Regions from separate parts of the Mus musculus genome. Here region 1 is reported to be linked to region 2. Evidence: microRNA targets listed by miRTarBase, many of them from high-throughput screens and not tested one by one. Region 2 holds a microRNA gene; the other region holds the end of a gene's coding sequence.
The links. The annotated mature microRNA mmu-miR-186-5p reads CAAAGAAUUCUCCUUUUGGGCU and lies in region 2 at 3,190-3,211, opposite strand. An mRNA with a match to its seed (bases 2 to 7 or 8) in the 3' UTR can be bound and repressed. Matches are read on the target gene's strand: a 7mer-m8 pairs with bases 2 to 8, a 7mer-A1 pairs with bases 2 to 7 and ends in A, and an 8mer does both.

Region 1 (4,185 bases), not on the chromosome of region 2:
ACTTAGTAGGTGCTCAGGTGATGCATGCTGAGTTGCCTTGTGTGGGCACAGGGACGTATGCCACTGTTCCACAGATAGAGAAATGGTGCGCATGCTGTATGCATGCCTTTGCTCTCTCTGCTAATTTAGAAGCAAGTCCTTATCATCATTACATGTAAAGTAGAACACACTGAGAGGAATGCCATGTGTGGAACACTGAATTAGTCACTGCCAGACTCTGCCCCACACAGCAAGCCAGTCTCCGATGCTAAAGAGATGATAAAACCCAATGATTAAAACATCCAGGTTTACATTTGAAATGTAAATAAAGAAAATATCCAATTTAAAACAAAAATCCAGGTTTTTTAGGCAGGGATGGAGAAGCTCTTTGTTCAGTGACAAAACTTTGTACTCTGACACAGTGGCTTTCAAAAGTATTCAGTCTACAGACGCTCATGTTTGAGTGCGGGGGTACTTGAAGAAAAGGTTTTAATAAATACACAAATGCTCGCCATGACACTGTTACGGGAAAGACCTTACAGTAGCCTAAGATTTCTTTAATGAGTTGCTGAACAACTGGTGAAGGGTATTCTGGGAAGTGATAGCTTAAGCAGACACTTAAAATGCAACAGAATGCGTATATCACCATGAAAAGATGACCACAACATACCAATTCAAGGGGGAGCTGTTTAAGGGTGGCAGGCTTACCCTCGAGGGGAAATAGTTACTGAAATATTGGTGACGGCAGCTTCCAGAAAGTTAGACGGGCTATTTATCTAACTCGACTTATTTCTACAGAACTTTGATCTCGTTTTTGAAAGGAAAAGAAACTATTTTTAAAATTTAGAAGTTAACAAATTCTGACTTTCAAGATCATTTTTATTTTGAAATGGTTAGCTGTAGCTCTGCTTTGCCCTGGTGACCAGAGTGCTGGTCACACCGCTGGTAGCTACTGAGCATCCCAAGGGAACACATGGGTGAGGACATAGGGACTAAAGAATAGTTCTCAATGAGTGTTCGCCTGATTCAGCTAATTCAGAGGCTCAACCTCCTTAGCTGCATTCACATGAGATGCTCAGTTACACAGGAACCTGATGGAATGCTATTTTCTCCTGGAGAATTCCTTTCTTACAAATCGGGAAGTTCTTCGTGACTGAAAGCTGGAGTCCTGCAGGGCTGACTAAATCCAGGAGGCTCTACACCCTGGTTTAAGGAAGCCCTGGGGTCTAAGACTTGCCTCAGATCCAGCATCAACACAAAGGCATGGTGGGATCCTTGGGACCACTTCTTTCTAAACCTCAGCTTTTTCATAAAATTGGAATCACTTTGGGTACCTTCAAGAAGGTACTTGTTGCTGAAATACCAGTACTTGGGAGGTTGAGGCAGGGGGATTGTGAACTCAAGGCCAGGGTGGTATACACAGAGAGTGGCTATCCCAAAAAGACCTCCCAAAAGATGTTCATTGTATACCGAAATGTATGGTATAGAGTGCTCAGTACATAGAGCTATGTGTTTTTATAGATCTTTTTGATTATGTATTTGGTAGAAATAGGGAGGGACTTGATACTAGCAGCAGAGAGGTTGTGAGTGCCACACACACATGCACACATACAGATTAAAGACTGCATGCTTCAGGAGCCCATCTCAGCTTCCCTTACAAACAATTGAGGACACTCTCCAATGCGAGGCAGGAGAATGATCTCCTAACAGGAGTGTGCTGGTGTCACAGCAGAGACGGTCTTATAAAAGCGTGTGAGTGCCTGTTCACACCTCTTTGGGACTTGAAACAGGTCCTTCTGCAGCTGCTCTCAAAGCCACCTACCCCTACCCCGCTTCTCGAAGCATCCTAAGATCCAGACAGCTGTGAGGAGAGGCATACGTTTGCTCCAGCCATTCTGTCGTTGTTAGGGTTCGAGTCTCCTTGTCAGTCTGTATTTGACTTTATGTTCTTCCTCATGAAGGAAAACATGAATCCTAAGTGCATTCAGCTTAAACCCTACATCTTAAATGTATTCAGAGAGGTATGGGTGAGCACGATGCCCATGTGTATTTTCCATATGCATTCCCTATACCAGGTAAAACTCAGCAGAGAATGTAAGGAGCTAGGGTCTGATGCTGACACAGGTGCTGCTCCACTGCAGGAACTCCGTGACTTACTTATAAAGTGGCCCTGAGTGAAGGTTCTTGCACCGTGTTCTTGGGAGCTCTATGCTTGCCTAAGTGATGCTGCGCTGCTTTGCTTGGCTCCTGGCCTCCATCCTTTTACAAGCGCTCCAGCAGTGTTTAAACAAATACCTTTCTCCTGTCAGCTCTCTTTAGATGCTCCTACTGGCTCATGGCACCTAAGCATGGCCATGAGCCAGTGTCTCTAGTCTAGAAAATACAAAGCCCACTGAAAAGTCACAGAGCAGTGTCCTGCTTGGTATCTAAGGGTGGTGGTGGTGGTGGTGGTGGTGGGGTTGGGGCCGCAGAAGGAAGAGAGTGGGTCATGACTCTGAGGTGTCCTCTGGACTGCTGTGGAATGCACAGCTGTGGACCCAGCTGCATCAACAGACTGTAGATACTCTGCTGGGCTGCAATCTCCCTCTGTGGGGACAGTAGGGAGCAGGGCAAAGGCGCCTGGACACGGAATCAGAAGATAAGGTGTGAGTCTCATCCCTGGGATGGGCTGCTCTGTCTCTCTGAACCACTGTTTCTCCAGCTGAAGCCATGAGTAGAACTGCCCTGTAGATCAGCTCAAAATCTATGCTGTTTGGTTTAAGTAAGGTGAGGTTTGAAAGCATTTTTTTTTTTTTTTTTTTCGAGACAGGGTTTCTCTGTGTAGCCCTGGCTGTCCTGGAACTCACTTTGTAGGCCAGGCTGGCCTCGAACTCAGAAATCCGCCTGCCTCTACCTCCCAAGTGCTGGGATTAAAGGCGTGCACCACCACTGCCCGGCTTGAAAGCACTTTATAAATGATAGATGTCTCCTAATAATATAAGTTAGGTGGTGTCCTATTTGGTACAAGTTGTAGTCAGCAGCTAGTGGGACAGCTGTGAGGCAGCCTCCCCTCGCTTTCTCAGAACATTTTTCCTAAGCTGTGGGTTGGGAGGGAGAGTTATAAAAAGGAGTTTGCTATGTTCGTATAACTTTTCAATATGAAGTGTTGATATACAAACCATTGTATCTCATACCAAACAATGAGCTAACATACTGAGTTATAAAGATCTAATTATAAAGAGGTTTATGCATGTAAAATCTGACTATAAATGACTTCAATAAATGCAACTAGATTATTTCCAAAAAAACTACTGTAGTGGCAACTGATCTTTAACATGTACACGAAAATACCACACTTGCGACTTGACACCCTGCCTGGTGCACGTGCTGGATTCCTGTGTCTCGGGGTGTGGTGGCTTGTGTCTGGTTGTGGACATGGACTGAGAAGCCAGAGGACTCTGCTGCTCCATTTCCCATGGAAACCCATCAGCTTTTCGGGTCTGTTAGCTCTCTGGGACAGTCCTCTTCACTCTCCTCTGCACAGGACAGGTTCAGGGCGCTCATCACGGGGTGGATCCAGGACGTGGTCTGTGTCACGTGGCTTGGGAAGAACAAGGGGTGCAGATTAGCATGTGAACAGCTCTCTTTCTACGTAACGGAACACGTATTGATTCTGGGGACTACCTGCTTCGACCCAGTTGTTGGCCCCTGGGACAGGAAGCAATTAGAACCAGATCCAGTAGTGTTAAGAAGGCTTGGAGAGGTTTTAGGGTCTTTTATAACCATGAATGAAGATGAACATATCACCTCAAACTCCTGTTTCCTCATCTGAAGGACACTGTCTGTGAGTATGTCTGTGGCTGTGTAGCTGTGTGCAACACCTCTGGAGTTTGTCTGCTGCCCTCCTTTCCAGTGTTCATTCCCCACTCCACTCCAAAGACCAGGCCAAACGACAAAGCATACACTGTCATTTACTTGAGAAATACTCGGCTCTACTCAATTCTGGGTCAAGAAAAATTCTACAGTATGATTCTGGAGGGCATTTCTCTTCCCTAGTGAGTCAGGGCACACTTACTCCAAAGAAGAAATTTCTCCATATGAGTCCTTCCATCTGAACCCATACGATCTCTAATTTAACTACTGCTTCCCTTATAATGTTACCCGGATGGGGAGAGCAGGAAGCAAGAAAACCAAGTTTTGCAAGTGATATTCTTGTTCTTGAAATAT
Region 2 (4,428 bases):
GCCACTGAGAAACAGGTTTCAAAAGCTTTCTTCAATTTGCTCATTAACTATGATTTAGCCTTTTTTAAAAATCCTTTATCGATCAAGTACAATATTTGGTAACTAGGATTTGGTAAAAGGATATCCGCATTTCTTAAACTTTGAGAAACATTCTGAAATGATGTGATTAACCTTTTTCTTCTATAATTTCTACAATCCTCTTGCATTAAGAGGTGTAAAGCTGTTAAGAGACAATGATTCTAAGGCACCCTCAGCTTGTTCCCAGTTGTCAGCTTTGCAACGTAGTTAACTGCTGGTAAGAAATTACTGGCAGAGGTAAATAACATAACCAGGTTGACTACTAACCCCATATGAACATAAATTGGTAATTCCAACTAGCTTATTAGCTTTGCCCATGTGTCTGAAGTCCAGGCAAGCCCAGGCAACCCTGTCTCTGTCAATAGAACATTTAGAAATGAAAAGGACAAGGATTTAAAGTAGGAAACAAAAGTACTCTGTTATTGCTAGGATGGTTTTAAATGAAGCAAATGGTTGTAAATAATGAACAGAGCATTTATCTGGGGAACAGTATATGGCTTAAAATGCAATTTACTTTCAGTTTCACAAATAAACACAGTTGTATTGTTTTGAAAAGCAATAAAGGCATGCACCTCTACTAGCAGATGTAGTACTTCTGACCAAATGAGACATCAACTTCCTAAAAAATATGCTTCATGCACTGTACTCAATGTTTTTTAAAGATGTAAATTTTAATACATTATTTCTTTTTTGAACTTGAACGGGAACCAGAATGTGTTGATCCGGAGGACGACCTGTGGTGCCTGTAAGACATAAGAGAGCAGAACAATCTGTAAACAGCACTAGACCAGGTGTCTGTTCCTAAGACTGCAAACACCAGAGAAGAGCAGAGCACACACTAGGTACCTTGATGCTCCCAGGAGAACTTAAAACCTAAGATAGCTTATAAACTTTTTTGATATAAGCCCAGAATTGGTGTGATTTGAACTCAAAACTCTCTATAATTTAAGAATATAAACTCATTTCAAATATAGCCACCTCTCAATTATTCAAGGTAATGAAGGGAAAGCCTTGAAAAAAGCTCATAATCTCATATATGTACAAGAAAGGCAAAGAATCCTGGTAAGGTGTGACAAAATCAATGTATGCTGTACCACAGAGAACACACTGGGTCTCTATGGAACACAGCAAGGCTTCTGAGTGCACAGTGCATGAGAAAGTACATTCAAAGCAATGAAGTTTTGGAAGTCTAGATCACATAAGGTGATGTACAGTTAGTGCTTTTAGTGCTAGAGTCATGCAGCCAACATGAGTAAGTCAGTATCAACCTGGGAAAAGTGGTGGTGTTCCGTAGGGGTTGGCCCTGGGCTCAGGGTTGTTTAATGTTTTCACCAATCACCTGGCTTATAGAATAGAGAACATGTGCATTAAGTTTAGATGACAACAAACTGGGGGGGGGGGGGGGGAATTATATGTGGCTAAGATAAAAACTCGCAGAAGAAGTAGAATGGCAACATAATGAATTTATCTCAAGTACAGAGTAATTTTCATATGAAGAAACAATGCACAGAAGGAAGACTGGGTACGATCTTGAAATTCGAATGTGGAGGACATGTAATTCTGACCCTACCCTCTAAACCCAGCCGTCACCAGATCTAATGAGCCTTCTTTTCTTTCACAAGTTGAGAGAATATGGAAAATTTGCTAAGACTACAAGTGAAGCCACAAATCATTATTATGACATTGAAAGCCAAGAGACAATTAGTGAAATCAAGTAATCAAGTCTGTTGCAGAAAAGGCTGACACATGTCAAGTGCACTCTAGATACAGGGACCCAGAGAAGGTCCTTTTCAAAAGAGGAAAATGGATCTGGACTGCAAGATGAAAAAAGTATTAACTCCAAGGGCGTGTAAAGGGCATAAAAGCTACGTGCTACAGAAATGCACTTGTAAAACTTAAACACATTTAAAGGAGGACAGATCCCCATGATTTTGCAAGTTCATCCTGACTAGGTACCCTAGGATCCCTACCATCTCTAACATTTAGTCTTAAAAAACAAACACATGTAAACCATTTCAACATATAGCTTTTGGGTTTAGATCTTTAAAAACACAAAAATAACCGAGAGTTGGCTATAATATACGTGGAAATAAAATTTGAACAGTAAAATGATTAGAGAATATTCTGTCCTGTAATTTTTTTCTAATAAGCAAGATAAACAAAGTAATCTGAATTTTGAAGTTTAAAGATAAAAAATTTAAAGAACAAAGGAGAAAGAAATCTAACCCTTGCCTACAAAGTCCACCTATGAAATACACATAAGAACACCCATTCTTATTCTACAGAAACCCAAACCTTTCGGGTGACCGTGATCTCGTTCGTCTTTTTTTGCGAACAGCTGGTGAAGAAGGTCTAGAGCGACTCCTCTTCCTGTCTCTTTCAGGAGATGACGAAGAACTCGAATAAGATCTTTTTCTTGGGGAAGAAGAGCCCCTGTGGGACCTGGAGCTGGATCTTCATTGATTGAGAGACAAAGCAGACGTTTCATTAAAGGCAGAAGTGAAGACTGTCCAGTTCCCAAAAGCAAACAGGATTGTGACTATGAGGACTTTAGGAGGGAATACTTACTGCTTACTCAGAAGGCTTCTGGGTCAACCATCAACAAGTTCTATTTACACACAATCATTTCCTCTTTAAACCATTCTAAATAGTTACCCTTGGTAATTAAGAAGTAGTTTACTGAATTAAGACAGAATATTTTTATAATTGCTTATAGTGTTCCAATTTAAAGTATACAAACAGTGAAATCAATTCTGTGGTGACTTTATAGTCAGAAAATAGATCCTCCCATTTGTCAGGAAAATTCACTTTTTATAAAGCTTGCTGAAGACAATGAACTTAACTTCTTACAGGTGCTACAGACACCTGAGGGACATGGCCCAGAAAAAGAACACTGAAGCTGTGAAGTAGTCAATGAAAATGGCAACTCTACAATGTGATTTGTATGAGAACTGTGCTATGAAGTATGAAGTAGTAACATTTACATGTTTTAAGTGGAAGTAAATGTGTAATTTAAAGAGCAAATTTATCTCTATTTACATATTTTTAGTTGAAGGCATTTAGCTCAAACTTCCCAAAAAATTCACCTTAGGGCTTAAAATAAAATGAGAAAGCCCAAAAGGAGAATTCTTTGGAAAGTTGTAAGCAATTAAATGTTTGGGAAGGATATGAAGGCTGTCCTGTAAACCTCAGTCCTACAGTTCCCAGAGGGCCACACCAAGACTCCACAGTCTGAAGTGAGCACGGATAGTTAATGCAATAAGAAAGAAACCTTTGCTCTACTCAGCGCTGGTCAGCAGAGCACTGGTCAGTGCTCCATTACCCCTCTCTCTCCTCAGGGGGACTCAATGGCAGCTGCCTTCAAATGTTAGAATGGGCTCAAGTAAGTGAGTCTTTCTACAGAAGAGTTGTTAGGAAACGTCAATGTAAAAGCCACAAGTGAGATTTTAGAGGCTTTCGTATAAATGCTGTATGCCTGCAGGACACAACAATACAGTGACTGAACATGAAGGCAGCATAGTGAGCAAGTACAAAAAAGTTTTTCAAGGAACCAAAAGCCTAATGCTTCTATTGCCTTTTTTTTTTTTAACCAATCATTTTCCTTTGAAATACTCACAGCATGGCTTATATCAAACCATACTTAAGCCAACATCCTACATGACTTGGTTTTAAGAGGGGTGTTTGTTATACAGGTAATTTATAATATTCTTTAATGTCAGGGAGATGTAGTAAATACATAGAGCACTCACTAGAAACTGAGAAAAACCAGGCAAAGCTATTGTAAACATTTGCCTGAAATATAAAATGTTTCGAAGCTAGATGATGGAATGGTTGGTCTTCCTCTCAGAAATAACTTCTCACTTGTATGTCAAATTTAAATTAACTGTAAACATAAACTTAATATACCAGGTGGAGTAACTTGCCTTCACCTTCCTACATCACACGTATCTTAGCTATATGTGCAAGCCCCACCCCCTTTAATCAACCGTGGGAATGTGTGGCACGCTGTGCGGTGGGAACACTGTGTGGTGAGATTAAGCTGAGGTAGGTGCGTTAGATTCCCAGGGCTACAACAGAACGGACAAACAGAAGCAGGGCAATGAGAGAAGCAGCGGAGCCGTCTGAAGCCTGTGAGCACTCTCCTCTGCTCTACAGAGGCGCTACCTCATTCACCTTGATTTCGAACCACGGGATCTGGAATGTTCTCTGGAACCGGAGTGAGACCTGGACTGCGAACTGGAAGAGCTTCTTGAACGGGACCTGGAACAACACGGAAGCATTTTTTTCCCCTAGGACCACATTTTTGAGGTTTGTGATATGAACACTGAAAGAAAGACATATATTAAGAGT

Region 1: miRTarBase lists Stxbp4 as a target of mmu-miR-186-5p. Seed matches in the 3' UTR shown: 8mer at 973-980 and 7mer-A1 at 306-312.

The regions. Positions count from the first base shown.
Region 1 is chr11:90,477,156-90,481,340 of GRCm38, forward strand. It overlaps Stxbp4 (syntaxin binding protein 4), which reads right to left. Exons shown (of 18, transcript NM_011505.2): 18 at 1-3,559. The coding sequence ends at 3,445. Among named protein-coding and RNA genes, the nearest start is that of Gm34850, 6.4 kb to the left of the region's middle.
Region 2 is chr3:157,543,068-157,547,495 of GRCm38, reverse strand. It overlaps Mir186 (microRNA 186), which reads right to left and starts at 3,217; the gene lies at 3,147-3,217. Zranb2 (zinc finger, RAN-binding domain containing 2) reads right to left here. Exons shown (of 10, transcript NM_017381.3): 8 at 4,252-4,338; 9 at 2,374-2,532; 10 at 1-821. The coding sequence ends at 758.